Drosophila melanogaster: one gene and its partner. The protein of the gene in region 1 interacts with the protein of each later gene in a pairwise test. Each region holds a gene or a part of one and is shown in the gene's direction. Other genes may lie near its edges.

Region 1 (4,516 bases):
TTATCTGAATGACCATCACGGAATCATCGGCCTGCAGCTGTATCTCCATCCATATCATTGTGTATTTGTATCTTTGTCGAGTTGTGCTTAAATCAGCGCACAATTGCGATGATTGTTGCCGTTCGCCAATTGAATTAAAGAAAATGCGAAGCAAGTGACACACAAAGGCGACGGCGATACGAATAAAATGGGTGGAAATCGAAGCGCCCCAGGTCAGTCCAGTATCAGTGGAGTCAACGTTCAGTCTGGTTTTTGTGGATAAAGCCAAAGGAACCGAATATATCAAGATGAATAGCTTGCAAGGATCGCTGGTCCTCCTGCTGCTCGCCGGAGTTTTTCTTCAAAGTCAGGCGGGTCTCTTCGATTGCGAGGACAAGATACCCGGACTTGGAGATGTGAGCGATAAGATATCGGAGATTACGGGCAGCAGTAGCAGTTCGGAGCACGAGGTGCGCGACTTCTTCAAGAACGTGGGATGCCACATCAAGGAGGGAGCCAAGAAGCTGGGCGAGAAGGCCAAGGACTTGGGCACGGAACTCAAAGAGGGCGCCCAGAAGCTGGGCGAGAAGGCCAAGGTCCTGGGTAGCGATCTCAAGGATCGCTTCGATGACTTCCGCGACAAGCTGGCCAAGGATTCCGCCGAGGAGATGAGCAAGGATCGCGGCTTTCTGGCCAACGTGGAGATTATCAATCCGGACATCCTCAAGGGCGAGCAGCAGTGTGGGCATGGACACATTCTGGATGCCTTGGGCAACTGCAGCAAATTGAGGAAATAGTCCCCAAAGAGTCCTACCCCCTCCCGTTAACACTTAAGTTTTTTTATGAGTTTTTTTTTTTTATGTGTAAATAAAAATGGACAGTAAAAATACAAATGTGGAAAAGTCCCTATTTCTTGGTATGTGAATTTTTAGTGTTTTAAACAAAGTATTGGAAATAATACTCCAAATAAGTTGTGCCATATTGCGTTGAGTAATTAATGCAATACCCAATCGAAATTTAATTTTCTGAGATATTTGATAAGTTTTTGGGCTATAACTAAAAAAATAATAGTCCAAATGTGGAACTAAATACCTCGTTGAGTTCGTCATTAAATTTCCAATCAAACTGTATTAAAAAAATGATATTCAAATTTTTTTCCATTTTATGCAAATTTTGATGATGTTACCCCTTACAAAAAATGAGAAAATTGACCCAAAAATTAATTTTCCTAAATTCTTCAAAAAGTGATATTTATCGTTAGCACTGGTAATTAGCTGCTCAAAACAGTTATTCTTACATCTATATGAGCATTTTTAGCCTAGTTATGACGAAAATTCCGTTTGTAAATATCAACTTCTTGGCAAAATCCGTTTTTCCGAATTTCGGTCTTCAGAAACAGTTTTTTTGCCATAACTTTAAAAATAATTGTCTGAATATGGAATGCCATATATCATTGTGCTCGTAATTAAATTTCCAATCAAACTGCGTTTAAATATGGAAATAAAATTTTTTTGCCATTTTTTGCAAATTTTGATGATGTTACCCCTTACAAAAAATGCAAAAATTGGCCGAAAAATTAATTTTCCTAAATTCTTCAAAAAGTGATAGGGATCGTTAGCACTGGTAATTAGCTGCTCAAAACAGTTATTCTTACATATATATGAGCATTTTTAGCCAAGTTATGACGAAAATTCCGTTTGTATATATCAAGTTTTTGGCAAAAGCCGTGTTTCCGAGTTTTGGTCATCAAATAATCAGTTATTTACATATTCTTTCATCTTTATGAGCATTTTCAGCCAAGTTATTACGAAAATACCATTTGTAAATCAGTTTATTCTTTGGCTATTAGCTATTTAAACGACAAAAAAGCGTTAGTATCGAATTTTTTCCAATAGTCGTTTTCTGATGTCCCACCATTGAGGCATTCGCTTTTTCACCATAACAACGAAAACAATGGTCCAGCTGCATTAAACCGGGTGTTCTTTTAAAAGTTTAGTTGAGATGCCGTGTGTAAGTTGAACTTGATGGATTAGTCACCTTTACAATTGCAATAAGTAGCCGTAAATATTTCTCTTTTCCCATTTTTTCTCTATTACATTCTGGAGAATTCTCCGGCTCTCCGCTACCTCCCGCCTTTTACATTTCCCAAGTCTCATTTTTTCTAGGCCTCTCTCTTCGCTCGCCGAAAATGCATTTCTGTTGCCCGACGACTTTCTCGCCGAGCTTCGTAGCTCGAAAACCCAATGGCGCAGCCCAAAAGCCACAAGATACCCAAGAACTTGGTCAAGTGGCTACGACTGCGGCTGCAAACGGGTTTCAGTCGATTGTGGGGCCTCAGAGGCGATACACGATATTCAAGATTTGAGATTCGAGATCCACAATTGCGATGACTAATTCATTGACCATCGCCGTCTTTTTGGCCAGCCTGTGCCTCTTTGCCAGTTGTGGTCAAATGCAGGCAGCCTCCATTGTCTGCGGATCGGAGGCTAAGTCTGCAGAGGATGGTGATTCGGTGACCACTCCCAGTACCAGTGAGGTCAACAAATTCGTCCACAGCCTGCAATGCACTCTGGAGAAGGCCAAGCCCTGGATAGCCAATATCGAGAAGGAGGCCAAGATCTTGGAGGAGAAGGCCAGGGATGCCACCATATCGCTCTTCCAGCGCATAAATAAACTGGTCAATGTGCTCGCCTCACCGGTTAAATTCGAAAAGGATAAGGAAAAGGATAAGGATGAGCAGAAGGAACCGGAGGAGGTCACCACCACGACCACCCCTTCCACATCGGAGGCTTCGAGTTCCTCCAAAAACGATCTTAAGGAGGAACTAACCACTTCTGCGCCGCCAGTTCACTTGGACTGGCTGGAGGATCATGCCAATGAGGTGGACTACATTCCAGAGAAGAATTAGTGAAGCACTTAGTTAAGCACTATGCTAATATATATGTATACTAATTAATAAATTATGTTGCTCTTTATTCGATGAGCCTTTCCTATTTATGAATTTACAGCATTTAATTTAATATATTTTTATATAATCTATTTTGTAAAATATCAAATGTAAAATGTACGAACTCGTTTGCTGATTCATCATTGCAACTGGTATACATATGGGTAAGTTCAAGTATACAACACATTTCATATATTATTATTTCTAATACATCTTTTTGTTTGCAGAATTCACTTTCGAAATGATTTAAATAGATCAAATCTAAAGGGTCAATGTGTTTGTAGTTCAAGTCCGGTGTTTACAAAAGAAATCTTGAATTTAGCATAACTGGAACCCAAAAACTTGTTGTGACTACAGAGCCAATTGGGTTTAAGTTCTTAATGAACCGCTTCCTCCGCTTTGGTGACTCACTTCACTTGATTGTGATTCTTTCCCGACTTTCTCTTCTGGACTTTTCTTGCCACTGTGGTTATTGGCCAAAAATAAACAAACAGCCTGCTAACTGAAGCCCTGCAACTCCGGCATAACTTGTGAGCCGGTTTTGGTCTCAACGGATCAGTGAATCAGTGAATCATCCCAGCGACAGGAGTCTCATTGGGCCGATCTCACTGGATGGGCTTCAATTGCTAATTGCCAGTCGTCGGGAAAGATGCAGCTTCTGGGCACCAGCGGACTACTGATAATCATCGTCATCATCTCCCTGTCATTGCCAATTATCCAGGGGATGGTCTGGTCGGGATTTATATGCTCTGCAAGGGATCATCGCGGCTGCTGCTACAATTGGGTATACCCCACACGTCCCAGGCCGCCATGTGCCCCCCAAAGAAGTCGGAATTCGGGTCAAAAGAATGGGACACCCAAATGAGTAATTCGAGCTCTACAAGCACAAGAAATAATATATATTTTTTAAATTATTATAAAAACAAAACAATGCACTTTAAAGGCCTAACACCACAAAGAATAAATTTCACAGCGCTAACGGACTCACAGTATAAATTGCAACTGTAGTCAGATATATTATAAGCAAATATTTTTTTGTAGCGTGAATAAAGAAATAATGATCTTATAATTATCTATATCTGAAATGAAATGATTGTTTTTCTTTCACAACTTATCTGTAACATGGGAAAGTAAATTGGGGTGCAAATAATATTAAATTGAGCGTTGGTTGACAACATTTGATAGTTGTTTGATATATAAAAACGCTTCCGTAGCTTTGTTCATTTAAGTTGATTATCCATCAATTTCGCGTAAAATTTGTATAAACAATAAGTAAACATTTAATGGAGCACACTTTTCACACAGAAAGCCAGAATGTAAGCGAATAAATTGAAATAAACATATCATTCACGTTATTCATCAATAATTTTCTATAAATTTAAATTAAAATTGCAACAATTTTTTTTAATTGAATTCAAAACAAGCTTTATGAATTATTTATAATAATTACCCGTTAATCGCAAGTTTTTTTGTTGATTAAGACTATTATTTAATAATCATAGATATAAATATTCTAATAAATAGACAAAAAACGTTCGAAGCTCAAAGTAATGAAATTCATTTTAACAAGCTAAGAAAACACTATAGATT
Region 2 (3,958 bases), 7.0 Mb from region 1:
ATTGCAAGTCAAGTGAATTCCCCGAATTCACTAGTAATTTCCGCTCTGCGATTTCTTTTCATCGAATGTGGATCAGTGTGCTAATTTTTGGGAATATTTCTTAGACGCGCTCCAAAAATAGAACTTTCCCTACAACAGTAACTTTCCAAAATATGTTGACCCCGCAAATGATTGGGTGAGATGTGCTGACCCCGCCATGGGGGCAACTTTCTTTGCCATATACATAGCTAGAAACCACACACTTTGCTAATGAGTATTTACGATCTTTTTATGCATTTCCATTAGCATCAAATAACTTGGCTGGGATCTCTTTTGCTCGCCCAGCTCTTCGAGCTTATGAATACATTGCGTTCTTTTTCGCATAATTTGGTTATTAAAACATTTGTTTATGTCGCCCATAATGGGCGGCAAATATGTTTTCCTTTTTTTTTCCCCCAGTCCGCCCTTGTCATTAGAAAGAACTGCCAACGGTAGCTGTGGAAAATTTAAATAATTGCCGCGGCAATAACATAAATTAGATAAACCATCGGAGAGGCTGGCAAAAAAAACATGGAGTTCGAAAAAAATACAGCACATAAATTAATCATACCACCCGTGGTCAGTGGCCCAAATTCGGAATTGAGTAGGGCTGAGGAAATCGATTGGTCTCCAATTTCAGCCACTATTGAAGGCATTCAATTAACATTTAATATCGGGAATAGCTCGATGTACCCGCTCTGTGAAAATTATTGTTCTTTACAATTGTTTTGCAAGCCGAAAATAATGGTAATATTTGAAGGAAAATGCAAAAGCAATTGCAATTTATTTTAATTCAGATAGTTGTTTCTTACGATCTTGCATTATTTTGCAGGCGGACTGTGATTTAAATTTAAAGTTCTCTATAGCAAAACTCTTTTGGCCAATACATTTACACTTTTACAGCCAATTTTTAGGCGCATTTTAAATGCTATTTTCAAAATAGCTTTAATTTTGCATAGGTCCTAAACAAAAGGAAGATTATTGATTTAAATTAGCCAACAATAGAAGAACACAAAAAAGAGAGCAGACACTCATAAATTCCATAAAACCATAATCCGTCATGCCATTATTTCGCGCAGCTTATCACTAATAGTTCGATAGATTAGCCACTTAATCTCTGGCACTAAGTTGAGCCTGCTTTCAATGCAGAGAATGGCGGAGAAAAGAATAAATTTCGCACTATGGACTCGATCCACTTGATTGATTTAAATGCTCGTTCCTCGATCCGAATGGGGAACACATGCTGGCTGGCCAAAGAATATCTTTGTATATGGCTATATGGCAGACAGGCAGGCAAATGAATGTGGCCCAAATAAGCCTCGAACTCTGACATCTGCGGGGAAGAACAGTGAGACCTCGCCCACTTCGGACATTGACAAATGGAAACGGTTTGACTTATTGAAAATCTCACTTTTGACCTCAAAATTGGCTCAAGAATTCGCCAGACGGTTTTTGTATTTTTCCGTATTTCTCCAGGCGACCCAAAATGCAAATTTCTCGATTTTGGTAAAGAGTCAAATGCAACTGGAAATGGAAATGTAGCCACCAGAAGTCAACGTTCTGCGATCTCTGGGATGTTAGGAGTTTTTGGGTTCTCTGCTTTTTGGGTTTTCTATTACTGGTTTTTGTGCATAAATCAGTCGACGGACATTTGCATAGTTTAATAATTTGCCAATCGTCCAAGTCCCCACCAATTTCGCTACATTTTACTTTGTTCTGCTGCCTGGCCACCTAATTTCTTTTGTTTTTCGTGTGATTTTTATGTGTCTACGCTGTTTTGCCTGCTTTTCGCCGGCCAGGTGAATGTTCCTTCCCTGTATAAAATGTCTTTGCCGGGCACTTGATGGACCATTTAATAGAGGCCCTCGTCCAGCGACAGACCCAAGCCCAAGTCCAAGTCCAAGTCCACATCAAATCCAAGTTCACAAGAAGATCCCATATATACATCATTATGGCAATTAAGTTGGTAGCCCTTTTGACCATCGGACTGGCAATCTTTGCCGCGTGCGAAGGTGAGTTGGTTGGTGATTTAGGAGACGAAAAATAATCTTTGATGAATTATGTTCGCTTTTCCAATATCCATCAGTATCATACATTCTCTTCGAAATCATAATTAAGTGACGGTTATTAATTAATAAATTGCTTTCATAGTTTTTGAGAAACAAGCAATTTTCATAGTTCTTTGTTAATAATGACAGACTTTTGTTGAAGTGCATTGACTTTTTTTTAATATGTGTTCCTAATATACGATGATATTAAAAGCTAAACTAGTTCGTCAGGGCGAATTTAAACCATTTCTGCCAACCCTATTTCCTAACCCCATGTCTTTGTATCCCATTAGCCCGCCATGTGAGCGGACACCATCGCAGGCAGCATTTTGAGCAGCGTGCCCTCATAGCGAAGCCCCACAGTGGTCCCCAGGGACGAGTCTTCCCCGGTGCCGTGGCCATTAAGAAGCTGGTTCTGCTTAAGTTCAAGAAGATCGTGCCCATCTCTCTGATCCTGCTGAAGTCAAGCAACGAGAACGAGGCCGAGCTGGTGCCCGTCTATCCCACCGATCAGATTCCCGAGAACGTTCAGTTCATCCCGACACCCAATGGAATTTCCGGTCACAAGGATGTCCAGGCCATCGCCATTCCTGCCGAGCTGCACGACCAGCTGCAGATCAACGGTCTGTCCAACCTGGAGAACATCGAGGCTCTGCTGCAGAGCAGCTCGATCTCGGCTGCCGACAATGAAGGCGAGGCCCCCGTGGGCAACAGCATTGCCGTAGCCCAGCCCGAGGATGTGGTACTGGAGCAGCCAGAGAACGATGAGGATCAGCTGTTAGACGGAGCCGCTCCAGTCGCCGCTCCTGTAGCCGTCGCTCCCGCCGCCCTGCGCCGCCTATCCGCCGACGAGCTGCTCCGCTCCGGCGTGCGCAACTCTGCCCAGCAGCAGCAGACCAGCGTGGAGGAGATACCCCTGCTTCTGTACTCCGCCAACGAGGGCTCCTCCTCCGCCGGAAACTCGGGACGTCGCTTTGTGGCCGCCGCTCCGGCACAGCGCCGTCGCCAGCAGTTCTACAACTAGGATCCTTTAATTTAAACAAGCAACCTATCCAAACTTCCACATTCCTTCTCTCGATGGCTGTCACACGGGCTTCACTGTACTAGGTGTACTTACACTACCACTGGCTATTCTACATTTTTTTTTTAGACTGAACTGAATATAAATTAACGTTATGAGCGAAATGACAAAAGAAGGGACTTGTGCTTCCGGGTGGCGAAGGGTCTTCAGTGGGCCCTGGGGTAAAAAGGCCACACTTGGATAAATTGGGGGTCAAAGAAGAACCTTTAAAAAGAAAAAAGTTGTCTCAATGGTAAACCAACCAATTTATTACAACAAAAAGCACTGGTTTTAAAAGGTTCAATTAATCTAAGTTTTATGTTTATAAACATTTAAATATCCACCCCTTTTTCGAGTGTCGCCAAGTAGATGGGCAGATCCTTGTTTGGGGCGCTGCTTATCAGGCGACTGCAGTTATCAGGCCTTTGTGCTCGGGCTTTGTGCCGCTGACGTGACAAGTCCTGTCTGTGTCTCGTTTCGTACTCGGCCTCGTCCTCGACTTTATCCTCATCCCCATCCTCAGTTTCAGTCTCAGTCTCAGTTTCGGTTTCGGTGTCCCGATCCCAGTCCAAATCGCAGTCCCAAAGAGTCCTCGTGTGGCAGCCTGCCAGCAATTTTGAGCCAACAAACAAAGCGGCCACAAAACACATGGCACAAATTTTGCTTAGGCGCAAAAGTCAACGGCACACGAGGCGCAAAGAAAGGCAGCCGCACAACAAAAGCGCCACAAAGATGGGACACGTTAACCTGCCATTCTAATGTGAAACCACGAATAGAGAATGTCCTTAAACATATGCCAAAAATGAACTAAATCTGCCGGAAATAGGAAACT

What was found.
Region 2: the proteins of CG9689 (region 1) and CG14424 interact in a two-hybrid assay, tested with the Drosophila melanogaster proteins (one large-scale study listed by BioGRID).

What each region holds. Positions count from the first base shown.
Region 1 is NC_004354.4:9,879,663-9,884,178, forward strand, and holds CG9689 (uncharacterized protein), read left to right. Parts: upstream 1-2,290; 5' UTR 2,291-2,365; coding exon 2,366-2,887; 3' UTR 2,888-3,090; intron 3,091-3,153; 3' UTR 3,154-4,008; downstream 4,009-4,516. Other genes in the region: CG9686 (uncharacterized protein), read left to right, coding at 288-776.
Region 2 is NC_004354.4:2,925,181-2,929,138, reverse strand, and holds CG14424 (uncharacterized protein), read left to right. Parts: upstream 1-1,880; 5' UTR 1,881-1,969; coding exon 1,970-2,030; intron 2,031-2,359; coding exon 2,360-3,090; 3' UTR 3,091-3,255; downstream 3,256-3,958.